Linked DNA regions of Cricetulus griseus. The protein of the gene in region 1 purifies or fractionates together with the protein of each later gene. This does not show direct contact. Links are inferred from orthologs where the notes say so. Each region holds a gene or a part of one and is shown in the gene's direction. Other genes may lie near its edges. The genes, in order: Ddx21, Dkc1, Larp7, Ybx1, Rsl1d1, C1qbp and Stau1.

Region 1 (3,925 bases):
TAGATAGATAGATAGATAGATAGATAGATAAAGAAGTTACTCTCTGCATATAAGAAAGAATATTCAGTGTTTGTCTTCCAAGTTGGTTCTTTCCAATTGACTGCAAAATTTATCATTGAATTTTTTGTGATATGGTAAAATTCATTATGTCCATATACATTTTCCTTATCCATTAGTCTGTTGGACATTTAGGCTGGTCCCATGTCTTTTTGTTGTAAATAGAAACAATCTACCTTATTAACAAATTTTTAAAAAAATACTTGAATGTATAGAGTTAAATAAACTGTTATTAAAACAAATTTTAATACTTTTATTATAGTCACTTGAAGCTTGGAAATACACATACCCTTGGAATATTTGCACACAGGCTAGTGAGCACTGTTTGAGAGGTTTTGAAGCTCATAGTTTCATTCACTGACCTGCACACACTCCTTAATCTTAGTTATATCACTCCTGTGCTTGGTTTTCATAGGATGTGGAGTCCTACATTCACCGTTCGGGGCGGACAGGCAGAGCTGGAAGGACAGGGGTTTGCATCTGCTTTTATCAGCACAAGGATGAATACCAATTAGCACAAGTGGAACAGAAAGCGGTAAGGTGATTTTCTAACTCGAATTCAGCACATACTACATTCTGAAGGCAAAGACAGTCTTTAGGACCTTGGCGGAAAGCATCTTAAATATGGGTTAGATAACTTGTGTTTGAAAATAGTGATACGTATTATACTTGAAAGACAATTCGTATATATAATATGAACAATGGTATGAACGTGACCAGAAATACTTGAGATTAGAGTATGGAGAAGGGATGGTGTGAGAGATAGCATTGGAAGGATAGAGGGAACTGGGTTGTGGTAAATGGACCTACAACACTTGAGGGACTGAGGCAGGAGGATCACCATGAGTTTCAAACACTGGGGAAGCAGTGTCCATGATTAGAGGTGGTAAGGTAGGCGTTCTCCTGTGGTATTAATTCCATTCCCAAACCCATAGCCTGACACTAAGGATGAGAAAAATCATCAGTCTCACATTGAGGATCAGCCTATATCACAATAAGTTTCTTGGGCTGGAGAGATGGCTCAGAGGTGAGCACACTGACTGCTCTCCCAGAGGTCCTGAGTTCAATTCCCAGCAACCACATGGTGGCTCACAACCATTTATAATGGGATCTGGTGCCATCTTCACATTGAGGCAAAACACTGTATACGTAATTAATAAATCTGAGAAAAAAGAAAACTATTTAAAATTTAAAAAAGAAAGTTACTCTCAGAAACAATAACCTTTGTACATGAAATTGTGGTTTGTTTTCTTGTAGGGAATTAAGTTTAAACGGATAGGTGTTCCATCTGCAGCAGAAATAATAAAAGCCTCCAGCAAGGATGCCATCAGGTATGTTCTCCACCATCGCCAAGGTCTGTTTCCATGCTGCTGCTTTTCTGTATTCTTTATAAAGAGTTAATGCAGCCAGTTACTTTTCATCAGACAGCGAGCTTGGTAGAAAATATATCCATGTTTCTAGTTATCCCTGCCCTGTTTCTCAAGGGAAGCCACTGTCAAGAGTTAGGTATGTGTTGGACATTTTAAGGATGTTTCCCACTTTGTGCCTGGTTAGATGGGATCACAGATAACGTTCCAAATCTTCATTCACTTCTTCCCTTTGTGGTAGAATGAAAACTGATAGGAGCAAGGATTGTTTGGCTGTATCTTGTAGCGATTTTATTTGTAGTGGTATTGCTGTGTAGAATTATCCTGTAGAAGCCAGGCGTTGGTGGCACATGGGACCTGGGCATAGTAATGGACATCTGTCATTCAATTCAAGCAGGAGGATAAGTGTGAAGCCATCCTGCTCTTCATAGGAAGTTCCAGGCAGATGTAATAAGACCCAATCCCAAAGAGCAAAATAAGAGCAAACAAATGTGCTGTGGAACCTCATTGTTTCTTTCATGCTGAAATAGTCTTCTGTCCCGAGAGAGCCTGGAACTTGTTCAAGGTGACCTTCCAATTCAGATCCCCCTGTCTCCACCTCCTCTAAGTGTTGGGATTACAGGCACGTGGCAGCATCTGCAATAAACTGGGATTAAACCCGGGACTTGACTTTGTGCCAGTTTAGCTACACCCCTAGTTGTGCTGATGCCCATTTTAAAACTCATTTATTGTCAGTTACTGTAGTGTTCCTTGTCTTAATTATTCTCTAACAAGTTTACTCTCAAACCACAGGCTTTTAGATTCTGTGCCTCCTACTGCCATTGATCACTTTAAGCAATCTGCTGAGAAGCTGATTGAGGAGAAAGGAGCTGTAGAGGCCCTGGCAGCCGCACTGGCCCACATTTCAGGGGCCACTTCAGTCGACCAGCGCTCATTGATCAACTCACAAGCGGTAAAGTTTTGGTACTTTATAAAATGCCATAAGCAAACCTGAAAGAGTTTATTTGAACTCTGTAAATTGTCTTCACTTTCTCTAGGGGTTAGGAAGGCACTGACTGTGTCCTAATTAAATACGTACTCAACAGGGGTGGAATGAGAGGAGAAACAGCACTGATTGCTCATGGGTTGAAGGGCCAGTAATACACAGCAGGTACATGGCCTGCTGCCAAGTCTCACAACCACAGGATATACATAGTAAGACAGAACAGATTTTTGTACCTGGTCTCTGGCCTCTACACCTAAGCTCACAGAGAGACAAATAAATGAATTACAATCTATTAAAACTGAATGAAAATCCACTGACTTGAATGTTGTGATGGTGAATTCCTTTGGTACATTGAAGTTTCCTGTTTTTATTGAAATAATTGCAGGCCACGGTAGCTTAAGTGCTTCAGCTAATCTCCTCCAGTGCAGACACTTTAGGAAACTAATGACTAGGTGCCGACATTGGTGCTCCCCACTGCCTTCCTAAGATGGCCTTGGTCTACCTGTGCCCATTCTGTGTGGCTGGGTGGTGTGGTGGTACGCTGTCGTCAATGGAGCTATCCTAGGGATACTTCCCTCCCAGAGCAAGTGTTTATTATGCTGCTGATTGGTTTTCAAGACCTAACTTTTATGCCCCTTTCTCCCCTAAGGGCTTTGTGACCATGATCCTACGGTGCTCCATTGAAATGCACAACATTAGTTATGCTTGGAAAGAACTTAAGGAGCAGCTGGGCGAGAGCATTGATGCAAAAGTGAGGGGAATGGTCTTCCTCAAAGGAAAACTGGTGAGTGCGGGGCCTCCAAGACCTCAGCTGAGTTTGGTGGTTGGCATGTTAACCAGGATGTGTCTGCATCCCCCATGGTGCTGCCTCCTACCCAAACTGCTGTGCAGATATCACTTTACCTTTGTGGAGAAATGAGAATAAAAAGGGCAGATAAGTATTATTGGGGAAATAGTCTTGATTATGGGATCCCTTGATGTTCTTATACATGGGTGCATGTGGGAACCCAGAGCCCCTGTGTTAGGTGAAAGTGCTTATGATGTAGGATTTGCATGATCAGAGAGCCTAAACTGGGGGTAAACTTGTTCTACTTACCAGCTCCACATCACCACCCCTTGCATCCTTTACTGTGAGGATACCAAGCAACCTGTGCCTTATTCCCCGTGGGGGCTGACCTTGGTTGCTTACGGTGCTTCCCCTCCACAGTGCTCTTCAAGACTCAGCTTTGACTCTCGGTGAAGACTCCCAGGTTCAATACACAATTAGATGAGTTCTTAACCTGTATGACAGAGTTCTTAGGGCATAATATTCGCCCTGTTGAATTTTCCTTCCCTCTTGAGTGCTTACAATGAAGGCGTTAGTCCCTGAGGCCTACTCAAGGGCAAAAGTTCTCTAGATACCTGAATGTCCCAGTGTTCCTGGAGTTCCCCATGCATGGAGAAGAAGCCCACAAATTTTAGGGCCCTTAAGCGCCTGCCTGATATCTGTGCCTGTGGGTGGGTGGGGAGGTGTGTA
Region 2 (4,534 bases), on another chromosome or scaffold:
TTAAGCACAGACAGGACCTGAGTTTAATGCCACTTTCAGGCTGCTGTGTTAAGACAATGTATTTAGGAAAAGTGGAAAAAGGTGGACCTGCAGGAGGACACTGGAGAAATAGAGGCATTATAATGATGGTGAGAGAAGTAAGGGTGAAGAAAAACCACCAGATTCTGGAACTCTCTGAAAGCAAAATTTTTCCTAAAAGATTTGAGCATCAATATAGGACAAAGATGAAGCCAGTGGACAAATGGAGAATGAGTACTTCAAATTCACTCAGCCAAATATTTACCATGGGACATTATAAAACAATAATCCTTAGTTCTAAGGGTCATATCTGTAAATAGTCAATTCTGATCATTACCATTGTTATCAAAATAAATTCCAGAAAGAATTGGGCAAGAAAACACCAATATAAGCCACAGTAAAAACAAAAGTGAAAAAAATATGATCTTGGCATTGCAGATCAGAAGAAAAGGAATATTTTTGTTGTCAGCAGCAACTAACTGGAAAACTATTTGCAAACGATTCCATTTACAATGAAGTATTAGATAACTAATGAAGTATCGTATTCACTAGAACTAGGGTATGTATCCAGAAAGCTGAAAGAATTTACTGAGGTAGAATAAGAAATAGAGTGGAGAAGGATATTCCAGAGATTTAAGACGAAAGGCAACAGCACAGATTAATAGCATAAATCGGGACTAAATCCTGGATCTCTTACTTCCTGGCTGTTACACATATTGTAGCCACTAGAGCTCTGAGCTTGTCTTAGATCCCGGCTCTGAAGTTAGAATCAATGTATACAGGTTAAGTATGAGGCACTTGAAAAACTTCATGCAAGAAAAAAAAGTAAGCCGGGCGTTGGTGGTGCACGCCTTTAATCCCAGCACTAGGGAGGAACAGGCAGGTGGATCTCTGTGAGTTCATGACCAGCCTGGTCAACAAGAGCTAGCTAGTTCCAGGAGACAGCCTCTAAAGCCACAGAGAAACCCTGTCTCGAACCCCCCCCCCCCCCACAAGAACAAAAGTAAAATATCACATACCACTACATATTGCTTGTTAACATATGATTTCAGATGTGCAGGGTTATGTAGAGTTAACTATTGAGAATCATTTTCATTCTTTTTAGTTTGATTAGGCTGCTGTAAAATTTAAAAGTCCACACGAGGCTCGCACTGAATTCCTATTGGCCAATACAGTCATAACTTGATAGGGATATCAAGAAGCAAAAGGCTTTCACTTTCACTCTCTCTGTACCTCAACGTCCTTTTCAAATGAGAATGGCATGATGGCAAACAGAAAATGTCGATATGAGTTAGCACTAGATAATATTTATAGCGTGGTAAGTAGGGTGTGCTTGCGCTGAAGCAGAAGATAGACTGAAACCTAGAAGAGGGCACAGTGGAGGCCACGCCCACTCGCTCCAGACTGCTGCCGTGCGCGCTTCTCCGAGGTTCCTAAGCAGAGAGCTAAGGGTTGGGAGGAGTTTCCAGGCGCATGCGTAGTCGCACCTCGGTGTCTGAGTCAGCCAATGGGATTGAGTAGACAGCCCGCGCGTTCCTCAAGACTTCTCCCCCCCACCACCCCCGCCCCGACTAGCCATCCTCTTCGCCACTTCCCTTTCCTAGTCCCATCAAGCTAGGGGAGGTGCAACGGTGGGCGGGTCCCAGCGGCGCGGCCTGACCTGTCTCAGACCTTAGGAGTCTGTGATTCCTAGCTGGTGGAGGCTTGGGCGGGACGCACGCGGTACGGTGCAAGATGGCGGATGCACAAGGTAAGGGTTACGGATGGTCGTGCCTTGAGACCTGCGCGGCCTCCTGATAAGCTGTGAGCTAGTGATAGTGAGGTTGTATCGTGATCTGCGGTTCCGCGCATTCCCGCCCTCTGTTTGGCTGCTTCGCCGCTAGGCCCTAGCTCTATAGGCGGATGCGCGAGTACGAGAAACCTCCAGTGACTAGAATCCATTAGGTCCGGGCCTTGCCCAAAAGACTTTACCGGGTCCCCTTCCAAAGGCATCTCAGCCGTTGAGGAGACTCTCGTGATAAGAAGACGTGGTAGCGTTTCTTCTGCCACTAGACAGGATATTACTGAAATGAGGATAGCAAAGATGCAGAGGAAGGGGCAGAGGAGCCGGGAGCCAGTGTAACTCAGACTTGCAGGAAGATTTTAAGAGATCACAAGCCCTTACGGATGGTGCAGTGGTTGGTTGTGGAACTTTCCAGCCTGTGGACAAGCGCTTCCTTAAGTATATTTGGCCTTGCCATAGCCACGTGGAGAACCCGAAGGGAAGCCAACACGTGCTAGAGTCATTTACCAGCTAAGCCATCTAGTGTTTGGCCTCACAAATGTAAGTTTTCTTTAGTAATGATAGACTTAAAACTATTTTCTTCTGTCTATCCTGATTTTATGCTTAATTTTAAACTTTGGTTTTAATTTTCAAAGAAATCTTCAAATCTTGAGTTTGTTTCTTGTAGTAATTACTGTCCCAAAGAAGCATAAGAAGAAAAAAGACCGGAAGCCATTACAAGAAGAAGATGTAGCTGTGAGTAGGAAATGTTTTACTTTGCTTTGAGTGAGAGAGATATTTAAACACATTAAAGGAGGAAATGCTTTAAAATACTTTCAAGCAATATGCTGGCACTCAGTGGTCTTTATGTAAGAACCAGCAAAGACCTGAAATAACAACTCCAGAGAAATTTTCTATCATGCATAGCTTACTAAATGGTGAAATGTTCTCCCTGAATTTTTGTTCCTTATTCCATCAGCAGACCCACAGTTTTGTTAAAATATTTAAACTTAACTCCCTATCCCCAAAGTTTAGTGAGCTCCTTTTTCAGATCTCTTTCAGAGGCCCTAGTGACACTCAATTTCAGAAATCAACACCCCTCCTTCCCCCTTGTTTGTTTAAAAGTCATTCACTTCTGTTCTAGTGTTAGAATTGTCCAAAGTCAGGTGGGAAGATAATGTGTTTCTGCTTTATTAAAGGAAATTCAGCATGCTGAAGAATTTCTTATCAAGCCAGAATCTAAAGTGGCTCAATTAGACACTTCTCAGTGGCCCTTGTTACTAAAGGTATGTGCTATGTGTATCAGATGAATGCTTGAATTTCATATTAGTTCTAATTAAACAGCTAATAAAGAATGCTTGTTGTTGGCCTGGACATGGTGATGAATGCTTTTAATCCTAGTGGGCTAGGCCAGCCTGGTTTACATAGAGAGACCCTGTCTCAGAGAAAAAAGAATGCTTAGTGCCAGCATGTTTTACATTTAGAAAACTGTCAAGTGATGAAGCATTAAGATAAATTTTTCAATGTATCTGAGATGAAGGACTCAGTTATTTTTTTTAAATTTGTAATTCATCCAACATTGTTCTAGCACATTGTAGTCACCAAAATGTTAATTGCCATCAGTTTTTAAACAATTGCACTTCTGAAATCATCTCTTGTAGACTGTTTCAGTGCCTAAGAACATGAGTTTTGAAGCCAGACACCTTTGAATCAAGATTGTATGTGACCTTGGCCTAGACATTGAACTAATCTTACTGTATTAGTTGCTCATGATATTTTCTCTTAGGATGATGTGCTGGGAGTTATAGCAGGTATTTTGTGAAACATGCTTAACAGTTCCTTATATGTCAAAGATTTTATGGTTATTATTTAGGGATTTAAATAGTAGCATTGAATAATGGGTTGAACTAAAATTTGTAATTTTCACAAAGTGGATACCACCTATAAAGTTGAGACATCTCTTAACAAAGAGGGTTTTTAATTATAAATTTTTTTTCATTTATTAGAGTGTGTAGATGAGATAGGGGGTGCACATCACACATGACATGCATGCAAAAGTCAAAGAACAACTTGCAGAAGTCCATTCTCAACTAGTTTGAGTTCTTGAGGTTGAATTTGGGTTGTTAGGCTTGTCAGCAGGCATCCTTACCCACTAAGCCATCTCACTGGCCCAACCAAGAATTTTAAAATAGTGAAAGTTGTGGTAAAATAGTGAAGTTTGTTTATATCATTCAACCAAGTTGATTTTCTGCTTGATTATAATTCACTGTCTTTTGGATGGCATTTGCATTTCTTATGTTGGCCCTGGAAAAATAGCACACAGAGATGGGAGAGACAATTAAACAAGGATTGCTATTTGTAGTAGGCATGATGAAACTAAACTGATGATGAAAGATGGGCTTCAGTTGGTGAATTCTTCCTAACTGGTCGCTAAGCCTTAGGAGTCAGGAACTGAAAAGAAACAGAGAGCCGAGGTAGGTAATCTGGAGCAGAACCAAGCTGTTCATGTTGAGCAAAGTTGCCAGCCATCTTCAATTTGGGTGATCTGAGAAAGCCAAATCTATTTTGTGTCTTTAGAGCATTGACTCTAAGTTCTCAGATTTTTCCTTTTATCTATAGTATTGGGAGTTTCCCCAGTATATAAGAAGGCTTAATAGTATGTCACATCAATAGTGGTGTTAATAATAGAAAAAAACTGCATTTATGGCCTTAAGGGCTGCCATGTTTGGTGGTGCTACTTACTGACTCTTGTTT
Region 3 (3,500 bases), about 240 Mb from region 1:
GTATTTGATCACTCTGAACTGGAATCTTAAGAGAAACACAAAGGAGGGCCTCTGGGCTAAGAGAGTGGACTGGTAGCTGTGACATTCTTGTGTTTTTACTGTTCTGTCTGCTTTGCTTTAGAACTGGTGGCTATAAAGTAGTGTGGCTATAAATTCCACTAGTGGTTCTCAACCTTCCTAACGATGTGAACCTTCCATACAGTTCATGTTGTAGTGACCCCCAACCATAAAATTATTCTGTTGCTACTTCTTAACTGTAATTTTGCTACTCTTATGAATTGTAATGTAAGTATCTGATATGTGACCCAGAAGGGGTCTTGATCCACAGGTTAAGAATCACTGCTTTAGATGGTGGGCTTTAATGGGAAAGAACTGTAGAGTTTGAAGTCTGACCTTTATAATTAACACTTAACAGTAGAGTCTGCTATGTGATCATTGTATTCTATATTTTTACCACCTTAGAAAAGGATTTGAAATGCTTAATACCTTATTTTCATTATATAGACCAGGCTGACTTCAAATTTAGAGGTACACTTGCCAGTACCTCATGAATGTTGGCTGGGATTTAGGTGTATACCACCATGCCTATCTCCAGGTACTTTTAAATAAATCTAACTACTTCACAAATATGTAGTAACCAAGTTGAAGCTTCTGCCTCTATATAGTTAGATTATAGTGGAGTAGATAGATAAGAAAGCTGTTGATTCCAGAGGGTGATGAGCATAGAAAGAAATGTTGGAAATATAGTACAGCTTGTCATCAAGGGGACTATTTTAGGTTGGATGAAAAAAAAAAAAAAAAGCCTCTGAAACAGTGGCATTCATAGACCTGGGTGAATATTATACTATATAGGTGTATTGAAAAAAAAAAACAAAACAACAACAACAGAAAGAACAAAGGTCTGGAGATGGAAATGGCTTTAACATATTTTAGGAACTTAGGGATAACATGTTATAAGCCTGCTGAAAAGTTGTAGAAGGAACCATTGGAGAAGTATGTCCAGGTCAGATTAAATAGGATCTAGTAAACCACTGTAAGGTCTTTGGGCTCTGTGCTGAATGTGCTAAGTCTTTGGGAATGTTTGTACAAAGAATTGTTCTGATTTACATATTTAAGTAATTATCCTGTACAAAAATTGATTATAAGAAAGCAGTAGTAGGGTGACTTGAGAGATGGCTCAGCGGTTAAAAGTACTACTTGCTCTTCCAGAGTTCAATTTCCAGCAACCACATGGTGGCTCACAACCATCTGTAATGAGATCTGGTGCCCTCTCCTGATGTGCAGTCATATATACAGGCAGAACACTGTATATATAATAAATAAATAAATCTTTTAAAAAAAAGAGAGAGAAAGCAGTAATAGAAGCAATTAGACTATTAAGGAAGATCTTGGATAGTTCAAATGAAACATAATAATAACTTGGACCAAGTGGTTTATTTAGAATGAGAAGTGTTAATGTTCAGGCTGTATTTTAAAGGCAGTGCTAGTACAACTGATAGTGTACAGTAGGAAGAATTGAGAATACTTTCTGGTCTTTTTGTTTTGTAGTTGGTATTTGTCAAAGTGGTAAAAATCTGGTAAAATTTTAGTATTCTTTTATTATGTTAACTCTTCTAAATGAACAAATGGAGTTTGAACAATTGACTATTGGAATGGGGAACTAATAACTGTGTTTTGTGAGGTGTATAGCCCAATACTCATTAGCCAGGACCCCCAGAAAGAATGAGTCAACAACAGAGGCCAAGATATGAGTCTAGTCATAGACACTATATGAGGGTAAAACACAGTAGAAGGAATCAGAAAAGGGAAACTCTTAAAACCGTATGAAGAAACTATTTACAAGGAAAGCATTTCTGAATGTAAGAGCTACTGGGATGTCAGGGAAGCACTGGGGTTGGGCAGACATTAGCTCTAATAGTAAAGTTCCACTAGAATGGCAGGTGTGAAATCTGAGGCCTCTGCTTATATATTATTTACCTCACTGTTTTACCAGTTATTAGTTTTGATGTGCAGCTAGCTGCATTCTGTGTCTTCAGCATTCAAGCAGATGCCTTATTACTTGTATGCTTTCAAAACTGGTACTTGGCTGGCCAGCTTATACTTTGAAAATGCCAAAAGTTGACTGGTAAAATGCATATTTTATTAAGATTTAGGTGAGATGCATGAAGAGCTTTGTTATGATAAAGCATGGGGAACCATAGCAGGAGAGGGTGACTGAGGCAGGGGACAAACATGCCAGGCAGACAGAGCTTAAGTAAGCTTTATTAGAAAGCAGAGGGGGAGGGGAAGGAAACAGAAAAGAGGTAAGGAAATAATGTAAAGAGAAACAGAAAGGGAAAGAGACCGAGAGGACTGGAAGAGAAAAGGGAGACAGGAAAAGTCCTATCTGCCCTCCCTTACCCCGTAAGTGGGTGGGATCTTTTAAAGAGGTCCATTGCACGTGGATGCTGAGTGTATTCAGGCTGGCCTGCCTGAATCAACTTATGAACTTGCTAGCCTCCACGAAGGTATCAAATCCCTTGGAACTTAAGACAGGTGGGTGCTGGGAATTGAACCATGGTCTGCTGAGAGGACCACCAAGCCACACACACCCGACATTGGTTTTTGCTTTAAGGCTGGAAGTAGGCTCAGGAAGGAGACAGGTGCCTCAATGCATGTGAAGCATCTTGCAAAACACACACTTAACTAAGGCCTCAGGCCCTCTTGTCCAGAAAAATAGGTGATATTAACTCCTATATTACTTTACAGAATGGAAACTGAAAATCAAAAAACTATGCAGGAAAGCACTGAGAAGAGAAAAGAAGAAAAAAAAAAACGCTCCAGGGTTAAACAGGTGCTTGCAGACATTGCCAAGCAAGTGGACTTCTGGTTCGGGGATGCAAACCTTCACAAGGACAGGTTTCTTCGAGAGCAAATCGAAAAATCTAGAGATGGATGTAAGTTTGCTCCCTCTAAAGTAACTCTCAGGCCTTATCAGGCAATAATACCAAAGCATCCAAGTTTATGGGGCCAGTGCCTGTTTTTATTATGATTCTTAAAATCATAAGCTCAGCAACACACACACACACAATTTTTAAAGCTAACAGTATCTACCACATTTTGCAACTAGATGTGGACATCTCTCTTCTGGTGTCTTTCAACAAAATGAAGAAATTGACCACAGATGGGAAGCTAATAGCCAGAGCATTGAAAAGCTCATCTGTAGTAGAGGTAATTTTTTTCACTACAAGTTAATCAAATTATCACACAAAACTGTTACTTTAAAAACTCAATTATCTTTTTTAAAAGTTGGACTTAGAAGGGACCAGAATCCGGAGAAAAAAGCCCTTGGGAGAGAGACCAAAGGATGAGGAGGAACGCACCGTGTATGTGGTAAGAAAAACACAAACTTAATTCTAGTTTCCATTTATTGATAAAATGTAGTTATTTAAATGCTTAAAAACTGTGTTCATGCCACTTATGGTTTTTACAGGAGCTACTTCCCAAGAATGTTACTCACA
Region 4 (4,378 bases), on another chromosome or scaffold:
AAACAAGAGTAGGAATTTTATTTATTTATTTATTTATTTATTTATTTATTTATTTATTGCTGTCTCTGCTTTAAGCAAAAAGTAATGGCAGAGAAGCCTAACTTGCTTCAGGATCAGATTTTCCAGAACTGACAAAGGGAGGCCTTTAGCCGGCAAGGGATAAGGGTTACTACACTAACTTTCTTCTTGTAATTGCTATTACATGTATTTATTTACTGGGGGGTGGGGGGGTGGGAGATGAATGCCACAGTGCTCATATAGGAACTAGGATCTTCAGGTTTGGTCTCAAGTGCCTTTACACAGAGCCACCTTGGGTCCCTTTAATTGCTTTCCCTGCTTCCATCCTTCCTCTTTCTGCAGCCCATTCCCCAAGCAGCAGCCTTTTCTTTTTAAGATGAGACTCCCTACTTAAAACTCTAAAAATTACCCTCCCCACTTGTGACCTCAGGATGAATCAATCTCACATTAAATACACCTAGTTGACCCTGCCCACCTCTACAACCCATATTTCTTTTTACTCCTACTGAATCCCTTTATTTGCATTTTCCTTGAGGCCCTCTAGGCCTTTGCACAAACCTATCTTTGCCTGAAAAGTCACCACCCAACACTTCCTTCCTTCCCCAAAGGCTGTGGTCACCCAACTATGAAGTGTTAGGCGTGTAAGTTTGTGCCTCCATCAGAAGGCAGAAACTTACTGGCAAACTATTTAAATGCCTCGTCAATAGTAGATGCCTAATAAAGAATGAATGAAGGTATAGGCGGGGGGATTCAGTAGCACCAGACAACCTGTATTTTACAGGATATAAAAACATGGATTGCAATCCTTGTCAACATTGTTGCTTGGTGTGGGGGGAAGGGGGAGTCTAACTTATCCACTAAATTAAATCCAATTTGTGGCCAGTATGAAACACATTCCTCGTGCGCCCGGTAAAGGAGCACCCCCGCCCTGAAAACACTGATTTCGTGGCAGCCGGAGCGCCTGCGTGGTCCCTCCAAGGTGACTGGACCGCCAAAAGCCTGAGCCATTAAGGAGGCCGCGGCGCTCACCCGGTCCAGGGAGAGAGCCCCTTCTAGAAGCACGGGTAGGCCCAGCCACCGCGGCCCACGTGCGCGACGAGCGCAACCCCGTGCGGACACGTTCCCTCTACGCGTCCTCCCGGTACTCTATGGTGCTCACGGCCGAGCAGCTCATTCTAGTTCCGGTCTCTATGGCGGCGAAGGCAGGAGCGGCTGTGGGTCGGCCGAATTAGTCGCCAAAGGGCCCAATGAGCGCGCAAGAGACGCGGAGCGCGAGCCAATAGGCGCTAGGGACCCGGTCAGGTGGTAGGATTGACGATGATCCTGGCCAATAAAAGAGGATGAGGGCGGGCCTATCGCGGGGCTTATCCCGCCCGTCCCGCCATTCTCGCTAGTTCGATCGGTAGCGGGAGCGGAGAGCGGACCCCAGAGAGCCCTGAGAGCCCCACCGCCGCCGCCGGCCTAGTCACCATCACACCCCGGGAGGAGCCGCAGCCGTCGCCGCCGGCCCCAGTCACCACCACCGCAACCATGAGCAGCGAGGCCGAGACCCAGCAGCCGCCCGCCGCCCCCGCCGCCGCCCTCAGCGCCGCCGACACCAAGCCCGGCTCCACGGGCAGCGGCGCGGGTAGTGGCGGCCCGGGCGGCCTCACATCGGCGGCGCCCGCCGGCGGGGACAAGAAGGTCATCGGTGAGCCCCAGAGGGGACCGGGGGTGGGCCGCGGGCCGGACCGTTAGGCGAGCGGCCCCGAGCCACCGACTGCGCGGCCGCCCCTCCCCCCCGAGGCCCGCCGCGCGCGCACGCCGGGCTCCCGCCGCCGCTCCGGCCGCGGCCGCCCCTCCCCCGCGCCCACCAGCCTCGGGTCCTCGTGCGCGGGATCCCCGCCCCGCCGCCTACGCAACCGGAGCGGCGCGGGCTGCTTTTCCCGGCCCTCACGTGCTCGCCTCCCGGGCGCACACCCACCTCGGACCCGCGCTGCCCAGCGCACCCACGTGTGCGGTGAGGGCGGCGGCCCGGGCCTGCGGCCGGATCCTGGACCGACTTCCAGGGCCAGCTGCTGATTGGACCTTGTTGTGCTTTGTTTTCCAGCAACGAAGGTTTTGGGAACAGTAAAATGGTTCAATGTAAGGAACGGATACGGTTTCATCAACAGGTGAGATGCCGGGGTAGAAAAGCTCGGGCCCGCCTCCCTGCATGGGTAATCTCAAGGGCCGGTTCCACCGCGGGCCTGACAGGGAGAGGGGTTGGAAACCTGGTGTTTGTTCTTGGGTGACGGGATTAGTGGGGTCTGTAGGCTTGCTTTGTTTTGCCGTTGAATACCAATCTTGAGCTAGCTAGCCTCAAAGCTTTGGCACAAAGCAGGTCTATGCAAGCGCGGCGCATGAACCATGCCTTAACAGTTACCTTGCATCAAACTGAGGCAACTCCAGGCTAAGCACGTTTTTAACCTTGACATCCTTCCTGCTTCGTTGAAATTGCTATGTAAGAATGTGACCCACTAATTAACATACAGGTGATTTTTTTTTCACCTTGTTAACCTCTTGGGGAACATGATTTGACATGTCAAGTGCCTGAGATGTTATCTGCACTGTAAGGTTATGTTGCCTTTGTTTAGTCGACTCAAATATGCATTCCTTGTAGAACCTCGAGCACATTTTCTATAGAACTCCTATAGCCAAAGACGATTCATATTTATCCAAAACGACAAATAATACATCCGAAGAAAATGGTTCTTCCTCAATTTTTATTTCTTCTACTTCCTTGTCCGGGAATCATGGCTGATCAAATCAATTTTTGTGAAAGCTTGGCTGTAGCTTACTGGAGTGGCCTTAAGTCCTTAATCTAGTTGCAAACTACATCTTCATAGATCCAGAGAATGGTTTAGAATGGTTTGTAGCCGGTGGTGGTGGTGGTGAGTGCAGTGGCTGCACTCTGGGCTCCCTTGTGAGCCCGGCATCTTTTTCAAGATGGCTGCCAAGGCTAGTGCAGTTGCATGGGTGTAGAGCACCGCGAGTGCCAGCAGCAATCCTGGCCGTACAGCTGTGAGACTTGGCGCCATTTCAGCATTTTCTCTCTTACATGCTTGCTTAGAAGGCGTTAAATAAGTAGATGGTGGGAAAGACGCTTAAGAGTGACTGAGTGCTTGTGAAGTGGACACTATCAAATTGGCAGCTAGTCTTTTAAAATAACGGAGTGATGAAAAACCGTTCATTGAACCACGCCGTGTTGTGGAAACACTCAAACAGAAGCGATTACAATCACTTAATGGTCTGTTCTCTATAGTAGCAATTACAGGGAAACATTTTGTTTTTCCAGACTAGGATTTTCTACTGTGGTAGGCTGTTCGCTTTCCTGAGGAATGCTACATTTTCCATGTTACCCCCCCCCATGGGTTACTAGTGAGCAAAGAGGGAAATATAATATTTTGCTGCTTGTATAGGGTTAGTTACCTGGTGGCTTTAAACTGGTCATTGTCGGTGCTTTGGTTGAGATTTCTATCCTAACAGTCCCAGAGGATGCTGAGACTAGTCTGTATACCCTACCTTCCAAAGGACAGTTTTAGAACCCTTAGCCCAGTGCTGTTAACTAGTCCTCTTTGGCCACATTTCTAGTTGGGTTAGCTGTGGGGTTTTTTGGTATGCATTTAATAAATTTTAGCGTTTGGCTAGGCTTATCACTTTCCTTTAAGCAGTTTTTTTCCAAGATTTGTATACTGTTCTATGTTGTGCAATTGTGTAGATTACAATAGACTGTCCTTAGTAGCTTAGTTGATCATTTTTCTGGGCAACTTAAATGTAATTAGCTTATGATGATCCTTTGTTAGAATATCTTAACCCCAATTACTGATTTAATTGTTTAAAATGTGCTTGTTTCTAAGCAGACCATTATATTGACGCATTGGTTTTTAAATGAGATAATAACTGTTGAGGTTTGGTTTCAGTGAACTAGAGGTTTGTCCTACTTAAACAGTATAGAATGTAAAATGGGAGATAGGTATTTGGAATGCACTGTGAATTCTGAGTTGTATATTCTAGGATTGTTTGTTTTTTGAGACAGGGTTTCTCTGTTGCTTTGGAGCCTGTCCTGGAACCAGCTGGCCTCAAACTCAGAGATCCACCTGCCTCTGCCTCTGCCTCCCCAGTGCTGGGATTAAAGGCGTGCGCCACTAACACCAGGCCCTGTATTCTAGGACCTTCAGCTGTTTTATAATTCAAATATAAGAGTTCATCTCACCTTTAAAGATAGGTTCATTGAAGTCTAAATTATTACCTGTGATGCATTCTTAAAACTTGGTCAAATTGTTTGTTCCAAGACATTTTCAAATGCAGATTATTTATTTTTTCAGAGATCCGCCTGTCT
Region 5 (3,925 bases), on another chromosome or scaffold:
AGGTAGGTACTCTTTACTTGAGAAGGACTCATCTAGAAGGAGAAGAGAACTGTGAGATAGCAGTGACATTTTGGGGTGATTCTGCTCAGAACAGCTTCAGGGATCACCATTTTGGATGGGAGTATGGATGTCAGGGCAGTTTCTGGGGTCAATTCTCTTTTACACTGAGTTAACTGGGATTGAATTCCCATCCTTAGGCTCCTTGGTTTGAGCTCAGAATGTCAGGTTTGTGTGACTAGTTGTTCCTTTACCAGTTGAGCCATCTCATGGTTCAACCTGTGTGTGTGTCTTTGAGCATGGTGGTGTTTTACTTTAGGGAATGTCGTTCTGAATTCAAAAGTTAAGAATCTTATTCATTAAATTCTAGTACTGTGCGTATTGGTCACACTGGAATGGAGACTCAGCACATTGTTGAAAACATCCTGGCTGTCTCAAAAGTGCTTTCAGAAAAATTGCCAGAGGTACAGTATGGCAAGAACATGAGTCTTTAATGTTTAAAAACAGCAGCAGTATATGGGTAGATGGAATTTATTTCTTTATTTCAGAAATGGCCAAGTGTGAAACTCTTGTTCCTGAAAACTGAGAAGTCTGTTTCCCTTCCCATCTTTTCCTCATTTGTCACATGTCAGGATGAAAACACCTTATCCTTCCGTAGCATGAAAAGAAAGGTTAGTCTAAGTTAAAATATTGGGTGGGCATAATAATCAAAAAGTGGGGGGGGGGGCTGCTTTTAATCCCAGCACTCTTAAGTTCAAGGCTAGCCTGATCTACTGAGTTAATTCCAGGACAGCCAGGGCTACACAGAACCCTGTCTCAAAAAAACATAATAATAATCATCTAAATGTAGCCAAGGGAGATAGATCCTATCAAGTTCAGAGTGTTGTTCTGAACTTAGCAAGTTGTTCTGGTGGTACAAGTTCAGTAGTGCTATATTATAAGGCCTCGTTTTAAATACATTTAAGACTGAAGCTGAGCCGGGCGTTGGTGGCGCACGCCTTTAATCTCAGCACTTGGGAGGCAGAGGCAGGCGTTTCTTGAGGCCAGCCTGGTCTACAGATCGAATGCCAGGATAGGCTCCAAAGCTACACAGAAGCTGAAATGGTAAGACTATAGCTCAGTGGTAAGGCATGTTCTTAGCATGTGGGTCCAATAGTTAGGGGGAAAGTTAAGGTTTATTTTATGTGTATTAATGTTTTGCCTGTGTGTATGTTTGAGAGTGTTAGATCACCTGGAATTAGAATTACAGACAGTTGTAAGCTGCCATGTTGGTCCTAGGAATTCAATCTAGGTCTATTAGAAAAGCACTAAGTCTCCAAGCACTCAGGAGGCAGAGGCAGGCAGATCTCTGAGTTCGAGACCAGCCTGGTCTACAAGAGCTAGTTCCAGGACAGCCTCCGAAGCCACAGAGAGACCCTGTCTCTGGGGGAAAGAAAAAAGCACAAAGCCATCTCTTTTTGTTGGTTAATTGGGACTGGCTTATGGTTCAGAGGTTTGGTACATTGTCTACATGGTGGGGAGCATTGCAGCATGCAGGCAGACATGGTGCTAGATGAGTTCAGAGTTCTACATCCAGATCCACAGGCAGCAGGAAGAGAGACACTGGGCCTTTGAAACCTCAAAGCCCACTCCCAGTGATACACTTCTCCAGCAAGGCCCAATGTTCTAAACCTTTCAAATAGTGCCACTCCCTAATGAATAAGAATTCAAATACAAGAGCCTATAAGGGCCATTCTTACTCAAACCATCACACAATTTCATTCTTTTCTAAGTTGTCTGTCGTGGCATATTCGATCACAACCCCAAATTTGCATTTTTATTAACCTTGGGGTCAGGAAATCAAGTTAGGAACTAATTGACAGAAAGTAATTATAGAGTCCAAAGGTGTCTGAAACAAATAGACACACAAGAAAGTAGTAGGGAGGAATTAGTGGAGTGGAAGTATACTTTAAGAGATGCTGCCAACAAAGAGAGAAGGTCAGCTAGTTGCTACTCCACCTCTCTGAACTATCAGGCTTTCACCCCAGCTAGGCCGAGATTTAAACAACCAGGCCACTGCCAGAGAATCAGGATAGTAACTGCAGAGCTGCATTTGCTGGTTAAAACAGGAGCAGACTAAAGTGTAGCCTCTGTGTTGACAGAAAAATAGTTATCCTCACTTTTTGGAATACTGTCATAAGTCATATCCTGGGGGAGGGGTTCAGTTTATCTTTGGTTTTGCTTTGTTTCGAATTTTTTGTTTTATGTATATGAATGTTTCACTTAGTTCTGAATATTCTATACTGTGTGTGTATGTGTCCTTCCATGACCAAGAAAGTCAGAAGTCTCTGGAATTATTCTCTGATGAGTTATTGTGAGCCTCCATGTTGATTCTGCGAATCCAACCAGGTCTTCAAGAACAAATGCTCTTTAACCATTTAGCCATCTCTCCAGCCACTTTTGTTTAGACGAGGTCACACTATGTAGCCTTGGCTGACCTGGAACTTGCTATGTAGACCAAACTGGCCTTGAACTCACAGATGAACTGTCACCAACACCTTGCTAAAAATTTTTATAAGCCCTTTATTTGTTTTGCTTCTTGGCTTTTGGAGGGAGGGGGTATTTAATTATGTAAACTGTGTTTCTGTCTGCATGTATCCTTGCAGGCCAGAAGAGGGCACCAGTTATCATTACTGGGTGGTTGCTGGGAATTGAACTCGACCTCTGAGTAAGACCAGCTAGTTTTCTTAACCACTGAGCCATCTCTCCACCTCATAGTTGTTTTTTTTTTTTGGGGGGGGGGGGCGGTTCTAGACAGAGTTTCTCTGTATAACAGTCCTAGCTGAACTGGAACTCACTTTGTAGGCCAGGCTGACCTTGAACTCACTGAGATCCATCTGCCTCTGCCTCCCAAATGCTAGGATTAAAAGCCTCCACCACCACTACCTGGTTGCTTGTTTGCTTTTTTTTAGACGGGGTCTCACTATGTAGACCAGATTGACCTTGAACTAACTCACAGAGGTCCATCTGCCTGTGGTGGTACTCCACCAAAGGTGTGCATCACCAAGCCAATGTCCTCATGTAGCGGTCTTTAATTAAAACTTATAGGCACAGTCTAACAATATAAAGTACAAGACTTATGATGCTACAGCTGGTTGTCTCTACCCATAATCAGCTAACCCTGTAATAGTAACAAGTTATCTCACACTTTCTTGGGTCACTCTGTTTCATGCTTTAGCACTCCCACTCTGGTGACTGAGACCTGTGGAATTTTTTTGAGAGCTGGTATTGACATCAGCAACTGGGTGAATGAGCTCTGCAGATGACCTTTCTTCCTCCTTCTGACATACATGTTCTGTATTGTCTGGCCTGCAACTAGAATGTACTGTCTAAAGTTAGGGTGGGTCTTTCTATATCCATTAAAGGTCTTTCTCAGTTGTGGGTCCCTGCTCAGGTGACTCAAGAGCGCCATTTGGAACATCCCAATTCTTTATCGCTGTAGTTTTCAGTCTATGAAGAAACAGGCTGGGCCATAGTAGTACTCGCCTTTAATCCCAGCACTCGGGAAGCAGAGGCAGGTGGATCTCTGAGTTCCAGGGCATCCAGGACCACACAGAGAAACTCTGTCTGGAAAAACAGAGAGACATGGGCGGCCAGGTACGCTCTTCCCCCCCACCCCCCCAAGGAGTGATTGGCATTTTACCTTGGAAGTACTCTGAAGCCATGACCACCCTAAAAACTAGAGGTTCAAGGGTTGGTAAAGGTGTTCTCCATTTAACCATGGTGTCTGAGTATGATCTCAATTCTGGGGAGGTGGAGAAAGATGATGGATCCCTGGGGTTCTGGCCTGTCAGCCTAGTGTAGCCTAATTGTCAAGCCCCAGATCCTATAAGAGATCCTGTTTTAAGAAAGTGGGTGGTTGGGCTGGAGAGATGCCTCAGAGGTTAAG
Region 6 (4,620 bases), on another chromosome or scaffold:
CTCAGTTACCAGGATCTGTTTGGAACTATGGCCATGCATCTCCGATGCCATTCCTTGAGCTCATAAGCTAGACTGTACCTGTGGGGAAACCATTTTATGTTAATTTGTTGTACTGTAGGAAAAAACCTAAAAAGCAAAAATATCAAGGTGATTTGAACTTGTGCTGTACTCTGATTTCAAACATAAAAACAGTCCTGTGTAGTGCTTTTGACTATCAAATACATAAAAAAATGAATCTTTGTTTATGATTCTTTTGTTGGACTTCTTTCCCTTATTTATAGAATGCTGTTTAGATTATTAAACAGTAGTCTTATTGCCATTCATTTCGTAAGACTTGGTATCTATATTTTGGGGTTTTTTTCCAGACAGGTTTTGTTTTTTTTGTTTTTTTGTTTGTTTTTTTTTAACTCCGTGGCTTTGGAGGCTGTCCTGGAGCTAGCTCTTGTAGACCAGGCTAGTCTCGAAATCACAGAGATCTGCCTGCCTCTGCTTCCCAAGTGCTGGGATTAACAGTGCCTGCCATCACCGCCCAGCTGCCAGACAAGATCTATGTAACCCTGGCTGTTCTGAAACCCACTGTGTAGACAGGGCAGGCTGTCTCCTTAAACTCAGAGCTGTCTCCTTCCAGGTGCCGGGAGTATAAGACATGAGTGTTTGTTGTTTATGTGTTTGCCTGTTTAACCTACATGTCTGCACCACACTCACGCCTGGTGTTCATGGAAATCAGAGTCTGATGCCCTAGAAACTCCAGATAGATCTGGGACTAGAACTCTAGTCCTCTGCAAGAGTAACAAATGATCCTAACCACGGAGCCTTACGTCCAGCCTCTGGTATCTTCAATTCTTAACATAATGTGATGATGTAAGCCATGAATTCCTGCTTCCAGGAAAATGATAGTCCATTAAAAGCTGGATGAACTATTAGGGGGTGCAGAGGTTTCCAAAATAGATGCCACTGCATAGCAGCTGGGTGCAGGTCAACTTGAGCATTCCCGATGTTTAGAAGGTTCCAGAAGTGGTTTTTTGTTTTGTTTTTCGAGACAGGTTTTCTCTGTGGCTTCTTTTGGAGGCCGTCCTGGAACTAGCTCTTGTAGATCATGCTGGCCTTGAACTCAAAGATCCAGATCCGCCTGCCTCTGCTTCCCAAGTGCTGGGATTAAAGGCGTGCACCACCACCACCGCCCAGCAAAAATTCCAGATGCATTGTCCAAGGCTACAGCTTATTAAGGGTTTGAAAGAAGGGATCTGCGGATTAAATAAAACAGCGGGTCACTCTTGAAAGAAGAATGCCAATTTTATTTAGAGGGGAGTTGATTTATATACCATCAGCAGCACCCTAGGAAGTAACTCAGATCAAAGTCCATGCTCTTAAGGCCCTGACAATATGCAGATAATTTGCATATTTGTAAACAGGCCGTGTCTGCAGGAGGGAAAATGAATAGCACCTAGCCATAAGGCAGCCAGTAGCTCCCCAAGGGTCCTGTGGATCAGAGAAGAAAAGCAGACTCCCAGGGGGTCCCCCACATCCAGAAGACTTTTAAGTGAGGTGATCTCAGAGTATGTGGATTGAGAAGAGTGGGCAGTAAAGGAGAGACAGCCCATCAGCCCAGGGAGAACAGAGCTAAGGGATTCAGGACATCCCCGTTGCACTGGAGGCCCTCAGCAGAGGGCGCAGTCTGGCTCGGTTCCTGTCGCCCGGTGACGTAAGAGACCTTCCCGGGCGGGGGCGTGGCTTCCGGCGGTGTTCGAGGTCATATATACTGTCTTGCTCGACAGGGTCGTCACTCACTCCGCACGTGTCTTCCTCACCATGCTTTCTCTGCTGCGCTGCGTGCCCCGCGCCCTGGGCGCCGCTGCCACGGGCTTCCGCGCCGCTGCCCCGGCCTCGCCTCTCCCGCAGCTGCTGCAGCCCGCGCTTCGACCGTGCCTCCGGCCCTTCGGGCTGCTCAGCGTGCGGGCCGGCTCCGCACGGCGTTCCGACCTCTTGAAGCCCCCGGCGCCCTGCTCCTGCGGCTGTGGAGCTCTGCACACCGAGGGTAAGATTCACGCATCCAGGCCGGGATGTGGGGACCCAGCTTGGAACGGATCCCGAGCTGGACCCTCGCGATCGCAGGCCCCACTCCTCGTATCTTGGAAATATGACTTGGCAAAAGCCCGGAGGGGTCGTGGTTTGACAATGTGGTTGCTGGACATGGCTTTTGGCAAGTGAAAGCGGGTAGTTGGGAATTCTTGTTTTATACGGAGAGCAATAATACTAAGTACACTAAGGAGAAATAACTGCTAGAAGAGACATCCTGGTTTTACAGAGTGGGAAACGGACGTTTTCCGGAGTGAATTGGGCTAGAGTCATAGAGCAGCCATAGAAACAGATTAGGCACAGTCCAGGTCTATAGGGTAAGGCAGTTGGCTTTCTCTTTTTTGACCATGTTGGGTTGTCTTTTAGGAGACAAAGCCTTTGTTGAATTCTTAACGGATGAAATTAAGGAAGAGAAGAAAATCCAGAAGCATAAATCCCTTCCCAAGATGTCTGGGAATTGGGAGCTGGAAGTGAACGGGACAGAGGCTAAATTATCGCGCAAAGTTGCTGGAGAAAAGTAAGTACTGGCCCTGGAGTTCTAGGAGACTTTATCACTTACTCTGTCTTGGCCATCCCCATTAGGCCTGAGCTTAGGCCCCATGCTTTGGTAAAATGGCTTTTGAGAAAGCATGCAATTGGAAATTTTCTTAGGTTCCAGGGAGGACATTCACTGACAGATTTGCTGTGGCCTGGTAATTAATGTGTAAAGGGAAGGCTGTTGGGATGGCAGACACAGGCAAGCATTGGGTTATTGGTGACAGTGCTGTGCCCTGCCTGGATTTAGGCACTAGATTTTAGGAATGTTTAAAGTGCTGATTTGTTTAGAATTCACATAAAATTATCTCCTCTGGCTTGTGTTTATAACAGTTGAAAATGCAAGATATGTAACTTTTGTTTTTCGAGACAGGGTTTCTCTGTGGCTTCTTTTGGAAGCTGTCCTGGAGCTAGCTGTTGTAGACCAGGCTGGCCTCTTACTCACAGAGATCCGCCTGCCTCTGCCTCCCAAATGCTAGGATTAAAGGCGTGCGCCACCACCCACCCCGGCACGCCCATGCCTTTAGTCCCAGCCCACCTTTCTCTGAATTTGAGGTCAGCCTGGTCTACAAGAGCTAGTTCCTGGCCAGGCGTTGGTGGGGCATGCCTTTAATCCCAGCACTCGGGAGGCAGAGGCAGGAGGATCTCTATGAGTTCGAGGCCAGCCTGGTCTCCAGAACAAGTGCCAGGATAGGCTCCAAAGCTACACAGAGAAACTCTGTCTCGAAAACACAAAAAAACTAGTTCCTGAACAGCCTTCAAAGCCACAGAGAAACCCCGCCTCAGAACCCCCCCCCAAAAAAAAGTAACAGGATGAAATTACAGTGTAGAAAGGCCATCAGAGGTAGAGTTCTTTGTCAAGCTTAGCTTACCCCTCCCCTAAACGGGTCTCTATGGTACTTTGTAGCACAGACTGGTTCTTCATCCTTCTGCTTCAGATCCTATGTGCTAAAGTTTCAGGCCTATGCTACTACACCTGCTGCCCCTAAAACCTTTAACTTTGTTATGCTGATTTGTTACTCTTTCACCAGTCTTAGAGTCCTGCCTCTAAGGGCTTCTCTAGCATGTGTGAGGCCCAGGGTCAGCCCCCAGTGAGTGCCCCTTAAACACACATGTGTAAGAAAGCAGCTTTATCCAGTGGGGGCCTGTAACCCTAGTTCAAAGCTAGGCTGGGCTGTGGTGGTACACACCTTAAATCCCAGGGAGGCACATCTCTTGAGTTCAAGCTCAACCTGCTCTATAGAGCAAGTTCCAGGACAGCCAAGGCTTGAAAAACCTTAGAAAAGTTCAAAGCCAGAAGAAAAGGGTCATTGACTCTGGGGTGTGGCCACATTTGGTGATTGTCTTCTAACAGGGTGGAAAAGTTCTCTCAAAATTTGCAGGGCAGTGGTGGTGCACACCTTTAATCCCAGCATTTGGGAGGCAGCCTGGACTACAGAGTGAGCTCCTCTCCTAACCACCCTCCCTACCAAATCCAACTACATGCCCTGTCTCTTACAAAAAAAAAAAAAGACAAACCACCAGGCACACCAGTACTCAAGAGGAAGTGGCCAGTGGATCTTTAAAGTCAAGGCTAGCCTAATCTAAGTAATGTGTATAAAATAGCATTGAGTTTGTTTTGTGTTGGCCATTGGGACCTACCCTGAAGTATGATATACCTATTCATTGTAGAAGACTGATTTTTTTCTCTTTGCAGCCAGTACCAATTGCAGATATCTTGGCTTGGGAGCAGGAGCCCAACTAGCTTGAATATACCTAGCAAAGCCCCATTTCTAAACAGTACAGGTTGACACTAGTGGGTGTCAATCTTGGGTAGATCCATGAAGCCCTGGACTTGATCCCTAGCACCAAGGATGGAGAGATGTCTGGCCCTCTTAATATCATTAATTTAAGGAATTAGGTTCCTGCATACATGAGGGGAAAATGTAAGCCATGTTCAGACTGCCTGCCTAACATGTGTGGGGCTCTGGATTCAATCTCCAGCACTACACACACTTAGACTTTTTAATG
Region 7 (4,720 bases), on another chromosome or scaffold:
ATTTATTGAATGAAATCCATACTTTCCTCACCACTTTGAGATGTTTTAAAATATTTATTTATTTATTTATTTAGGTTTTTCAAGACAGGGTTTCTCTGTGCAGCTTTGTAGACCAGGTTGCTCTCAACTCACAGAGATATGCCTGCTTTTGTTTGATTAAAGGTGTATGTGTGTGTACATCATGCTCAATCTTTTTTTTTTTTTTTTTTTTTTTTTTGCTTTTCTGAGATTGGGTTTCTCTGTGTAAGTGCTCTGGCCGTTCTGAAACTCTCTCTGCAGACCAGCTGGTCTTGAACTCACAGAGATCCACCTGCCTCTGCCTCCACTGGCATTAAAGGTGTGCGCCACTGCCACTGCCACCACTTGGCTGTAGTCTCTTTTTCTTCCTTCCTTTCTTTTCTTTCTTTTTTCTCTTTTCCCTTCCTTCCTTCCTTTCTTTTTTTTCTTTCGTTTTTTGAGGCAGGGTTTCTCTGTGGCTTTGGAGGCTATTCTGCAACTAGCTCTCGTAGACCAAGCTGGTCTCCAACTCACGGAGACCCACCTGCCTCTGCCTCCCGAGTGTTGGTATTAAAGGCTTGCGCCACCAATGCCTGGCCTCTTCCTTCCCTTCCCTTTCCTTCCTTCCTTCCTTCCTTCCTTCCTTCCTTCCTTCTTTCCTTCCTTCCTTCCTTTCTTTTTGAGACATAGTTTCTCTGTGTTACAGCTCTGGCTGCCCTTGAACTCACTTTGTAGACAAGGCTGGCCTCGAACTCATAGAGATCCTGTCCAGCCTCCCAAGTGCTGGAGTTTGAGGTGTTAGTCACGAAGTCCAGCTTTTTCTATTGCTTTCTAAAGAGGGCTTTCTTCCATGATATCTCCTTCTAACATTTAGAGGTAGTCCAGTGTAACAATTTTCCAGCCAATTTGGGAATGGCTTATCTGAACTCTGAAGTGCTTTTCAATCTTGCTTTCCTCATATAGCACATACTTCAAGTGATCTAAACACACATACACATACACAATTTAAAAAATTAAAACAAGAAAATCTAAGAAGTCAGCTTAAAAAACTATGTGATGAGTGGGTGATGGAGCTCACTGGTAGAAGTGGTTTATAGTTCAATTCCCAGGACTGCATCAAACAAGCCCACACCAGCCTCTTGTCCACAGAAGCACACTCTGCTTAGAGGGGTGTGAGAGCAGCCAGAAAACACTTGTGCTTGTTTGTTTCAGGCTCATACTTCGCACTAGAATGTAAACGTCATGAGGGCAAGGACATGTGCATCCCAGCCGCTTTCTCAGCTTCTGACCTAGCACAGGGCAGCAGGTTAACAAATGCTGACATAGAGAAGGAGTGACTGCGCAGAAGCAAGCATAAACCCGAGAAAGAAAGGAAGACAGGCCTGCTTTCTCGGCCCAGCTTGAGCTCCCGCGAAACTACAACTCCCAGCATGCCCCGACACAACAGAACCTGTCCGGCCCCTGACGCCCTAGCGTGTCTAGAGGGCGCAGGCAGGCTGCGGCGCCCGCCGGGACTTGTGGTCCCAGCCGCGGTGGGGGGGGCCGGCATGGAGGCGGGCGGGGGCCGGGGCGGGCGCGGCCCCTCCCCCGTCACTTCCTGCCGGGCTGCGGGCGCCGGAGCCGCTCTTCAGCGTTTGCGCTGGCGGCCGTCGCGCCTGTGTCGTCTGCCCCTTTTTCTGTCCCCCCGGCCCGGCGGCGCCCGCCTCCTCCGCGGCCACACCGCCTCTTCCCTCCCCGGTCCCTTCGCCTTCGCCCTCCTCCCTTGCTCCTTCCCGTCCTCGCCGCCGCCCAGGACCGCCGGCCCGTGGACGAGCTCCGGGGAAGCAGGCAGGTGAGGCGGCCGGGCCCGGGCCTCGGTGGGGCCCTCGTAGGCACGGCGGCAGCGGGAGGTGGGCGGCGGGTGGGCTAGGCCTCGCGGGCGCGCGAGCTGCGGCCCAGGCCCGTCCCCGCCCGGGGCCCTTCCCGGAGGAGGCGGGCCCTCCGCGCCGCTCGTGGGCTCGGTGCCCGAGTGAGACGCGGGGCGCGGGCAGGGGCCGGGCCGGTCGGGAGCCCCCCGGGTCTCGGCGCTGTGCACAGTGCTGCAGCCACTGCCGAGCCGCGGGACGGGGTGCCAATTCCCGGCTCTGCCCCTTCGCGAGCCACTTCACACTCTTTGTGTCTCTGTTGTGAGGGGACGGGAGGGGGGTAGAAGGCTAATCCTGTCCCAGCCCTGTCCCTGCCTCTTCCGACTGTGAAGGTGCAGTGAATTGGGGGCGTGTAAAGCGCTTATCAGCGTGCCAGACCCATGTCGTGTCCCAATAAACGGTTTGCATAATTTATTAGCGTGATATGAAGGTATAATTTAGGGTGCAGACTGGACAGAAGTTGACCTACCTTCCCATTTCGCTTTCCTCCGAGGCAGAAGAACCCGCGTGCCCACTCCCAGCGCCTGGGCATTGTGCTTGCTTAGCATCGGAAAGGGGCGCGCGCTTAATGGGGACACTTGCAGGCACATCTGGATGTAAAGACGTAGCCATCCTTTCTGTAGAAGCAGCTGCGGGGAACCCACCGCTCCCCCAGGCTCAGCAACCTGTCCCATGTTTCCCTGCCACCATCCATCCAGAACCTTGTTGTCATTCTTTTTTCTGGGAAAGTTGCTGGCACAGGCTCCCCTCCTGTGTGTCAGGCTCTGGAGGTGCAGTGTGCAGATGTGAAACCCTGCTTTCCGGGTCCGCATCTGCAGATCTTCACTTTCTTTGGTTGAATTTGTCTTTCACTCTAAGGTCCCAGTTAGCAGTTTCCCCAAACCCTGAGCACAACTCCCTTTCTGTGGCAGTATTGCTGGTGTAGAAACTTTATTTTGTTTTGCCCTTCGTGATGTGGGGGCCTTCTTTAGGGTCACTCTTTTCATCTGCTTGTGGCTGTAATTCTTGAGATGGTGCTAGAAGAGATTTAAACTAGGATTTTGGCCTTTTAGGCATCTGTGCTTATCACATGTAAATTACGTCGCTACTTGTTGAAGTAAAAACTAAAAAATACAGTTGGTGAGTGTGGAAGGGGCAGTCTGAACCATTCTGGTGAGCTTTTAGAAGAGCTTCTTTTTTAGTCTGACTCAGCCTTTCTCTCTCAAGATTAAGTTCTTTTTTTGAGTGTTACACCAGCGGCAGCTGTTGGGGAAGTGGAAAGACAACTTTTGGGATTCAAAGGTTTTGGGATTCAAAGGTTATCAGGCTCCTTGCTGCAACTGCTTCACTTGCTGAGCCCATCTCAAAGTGTCCGTATTTGTTTTAAGTATGTGCTTAATGACATAGACATCCCCTTCCTTAAAGACATGCAAACTCATTCGCAAGAATAATATGGTGTGTTTGCTGTGCCCAACGACTCTTCTATGCCTTAGGATTACTCTGTGTGTGGGGGGGGGAGGGGGAGACAGTTCATATATGCATGCCCTTGTGTGCCTGTGGAGGCCAGAGGTCAACCTCTGTCTTGCTCTTCCTTAATGGCTCTCTGCCTTATTTTGTGAGACAGTCTCTAAGCATGACCTACCCATTTCTTCAGCCCACAATCACCAGATTGTTTTGGGCAGTGAATTTCCTTAGTAAGTGGCGAATGTTTATATCACACCCATCTCAATAATGCAAGGCATTACTGTTTTTGATATCTTCCAAAAATTTGTAACTGTCAGGAAATATTGTGTATTGTGTATTGTTGAATGTAATGGCTTTTTAACAGCTCTCAAACAAACGATTCTGTAAGTATCACCAAGCATATTCTGTGTCACATCGAAAATTATTTCAGGGAAGTGATATTTTAATGCTGTGGTAGAGAACTTGAAGTTATTTTTTTAGCCTTTTTTTTTTTTTTTTTTTTTTCAGTATCTCTAGTTTAGGCTGACCTTGAACTCCTATCAGTCCTCCTGTCTCACCCACTGAGGTGCAGAGATTACAGGTGTGAGCTGTCATGCTTGGCTTCTGAAGTTATTTTTAAGTATGAAAGTTAAACACTATAGAGGGCACTGTGTATTGGTCGCCCGGCTTTGGCAATTATTAACTCCTAGCTAAGGTCAGTCTTGTTTCTACTTGAACTCCCTCCTTTAAGCTAGCTTATTTTTTTGGTTTTTTGTTTGTTTGTTTTTTTGACACAGGGTTTCTCTGTAGCTTTGGAGCCTGTCCTGGAACTCTATCACTAGACCAGGCTGGCCTCACAGAGATCTTCCTGCCTCTGCTGGGATCAAAGGCATATGCCACCACCACCTGGCTCTAATCTAGCTTGTTTTGAAACAACCCCCAAACTTATCATAATCTTAGTCATTTTGACTTTAACTAGATCACCTCAGGCTGACTGACAGTTTTTGTTTTTTGTTTTTTGTTTGGGGGGGAGTCTGGCTTCTTTGTTGAGATATGATTAATACAAAGCAGGAAAACAGCTGCAGAGTTAACGGATTCCCCTCCTCAAGGTAGAGCCCAGGTTTCAGTCTTTCTCCTTATGAACCGAGTCAGTTATTCCTGAGCTATTAATGACTAGTTGAAAAATGGAGCAGTGATGAAAGTCTTTGACCCTGACACTCAGGAGACTGAGACAGGCAGAGAGACCCTGTCTCAAAAGTAAAAAGAAAAGGGCTATGGGACTAGCTCATTGGTGGGATACTTGGCTGGCATGCACAAAGCTCCAGGTTTAATCTCTAGTACCTCAAAACTCTAAAACTTGTCTTGTTGAATTGCTGTCTGAAGGGCCCCTGCAGTGT

The links.
Region 2: the proteins of Ddx21 (region 1) and Dkc1 purify together in Homo sapiens (co-immunoprecipitation; 3 studies listed by BioGRID and IntAct, with this or other methods). This does not show direct contact. The link is inferred for Cricetulus griseus from reciprocal best matches to the Homo sapiens genes DDX21 and DKC1.
Region 3: the proteins of Ddx21 (region 1) and Larp7 purify together in Homo sapiens (affinity purification with mass spectrometry; 5 studies listed by BioGRID and IntAct, with this or other methods). This does not show direct contact. The link is inferred for Cricetulus griseus from reciprocal best matches to the Homo sapiens genes DDX21 and LARP7.
Region 4: the proteins of Ddx21 (region 1) and Ybx1 purify together in Homo sapiens (co-immunoprecipitation; 4 studies listed by BioGRID and IntAct, with this or other methods). This does not show direct contact. The link is inferred for Cricetulus griseus from reciprocal best matches to the Homo sapiens genes DDX21 and YBX1.
Region 5: the proteins of Ddx21 (region 1) and Rsl1d1 purify together in Homo sapiens (affinity purification with mass spectrometry; 3 studies listed by BioGRID and IntAct, with this or other methods). This does not show direct contact. The link is inferred for Cricetulus griseus from reciprocal best matches to the Homo sapiens genes DDX21 and RSL1D1.
Region 6: the proteins of Ddx21 (region 1) and C1qbp purify together in Homo sapiens (co-immunoprecipitation; 3 studies listed by BioGRID and IntAct, with this or other methods). This does not show direct contact. The link is inferred for Cricetulus griseus from reciprocal best matches to the Homo sapiens genes DDX21 and C1QBP.
Region 7: the proteins of Ddx21 (region 1) and Stau1 purify together in Homo sapiens (affinity purification with mass spectrometry; 4 studies listed by BioGRID and IntAct, with this or other methods). This does not show direct contact. The link is inferred for Cricetulus griseus from reciprocal best matches to the Homo sapiens genes DDX21 and STAU1.

Annotation. Positions count from the first base shown.
Region 1 is NW_023276806.1:274,615,375-274,619,299, forward strand, and holds part of Ddx21 (nucleolar RNA helicase 2), read left to right. Parts: intron 1-472; coding exon 473-592; intron 593-1,314; coding exon 1,315-1,388; intron 1,389-2,216; coding exon 2,217-2,376; intron 2,377-3,058; coding exon 3,059-3,193; intron 3,194-3,925.
Region 2 is NC_048604.1:750,536-755,069, reverse strand, and holds the start of Dkc1 (H/ACA ribonucleoprotein complex subunit DKC1), read left to right. Parts: upstream 1-1,612; 5' UTR 1,613-1,752; coding exon 1,753-1,768; intron 1,769-2,468; coding exon 2,469-2,536; intron 2,537-2,979; coding exon 2,980-3,066; intron 3,067-4,534.
Region 3 is NW_023276806.1:31,273,890-31,277,389, forward strand, and holds part of Larp7 (la-related protein 7), read left to right. Parts: intron 1-2,748; 5' UTR 2,749-2,749; coding exon 2,750-2,936; intron 2,937-3,109; coding exon 3,110-3,210; intron 3,211-3,288; coding exon 3,289-3,372; intron 3,373-3,472; coding exon 3,473-3,500. UniProt on the Homo sapiens protein: RNA-binding protein that specifically binds distinct small nuclear RNA (snRNAs) and regulates their processing and function.
Region 4 is NC_048595.1:32,872,813-32,877,190, forward strand, and holds the start of Ybx1 (Y-box-binding protein 1), read left to right. Parts: upstream 1-1,399; 5' UTR 1,400-1,548; coding exon 1,549-1,708; intron 1,709-2,107; coding exon 2,108-2,171; intron 2,172-4,378. UniProt on the Homo sapiens protein: DNA- and RNA-binding protein involved in various processes, such as translational repression, RNA stabilization, mRNA splicing, DNA repair and transcription regulation.
Region 5 is NC_048600.1:35,521,237-35,525,161, forward strand, and holds part of Rsl1d1 (ribosomal L1 domain-containing protein 1), read left to right. Parts: intron 1-367; coding exon 368-461; intron 462-545; coding exon 546-668; intron 669-3,925. UniProt on the Homo sapiens protein: Regulates cellular senescence through inhibition of PTEN translation. Acts as a pro-apoptotic regulator in response to DNA damage.
Region 6 is NC_048600.1:84,787,107-84,791,726, reverse strand, and holds the start of C1qbp (complement component 1 Q subcomponent-binding protein, mitochondrial), read left to right. Parts: upstream 1-1,744; 5' UTR 1,745-1,809; coding exon 1,810-2,035; intron 2,036-2,442; coding exon 2,443-2,593; intron 2,594-4,620.
Region 7 is NC_048599.1:12,445,660-12,450,379, forward strand, and holds the start of Stau1 (double-stranded RNA-binding protein Staufen homolog 1), read left to right. Parts: upstream 1-1,589; 5' UTR 1,590-1,828; intron 1,829-4,720. UniProt on the Homo sapiens protein: Binds double-stranded RNA (regardless of the sequence) and tubulin.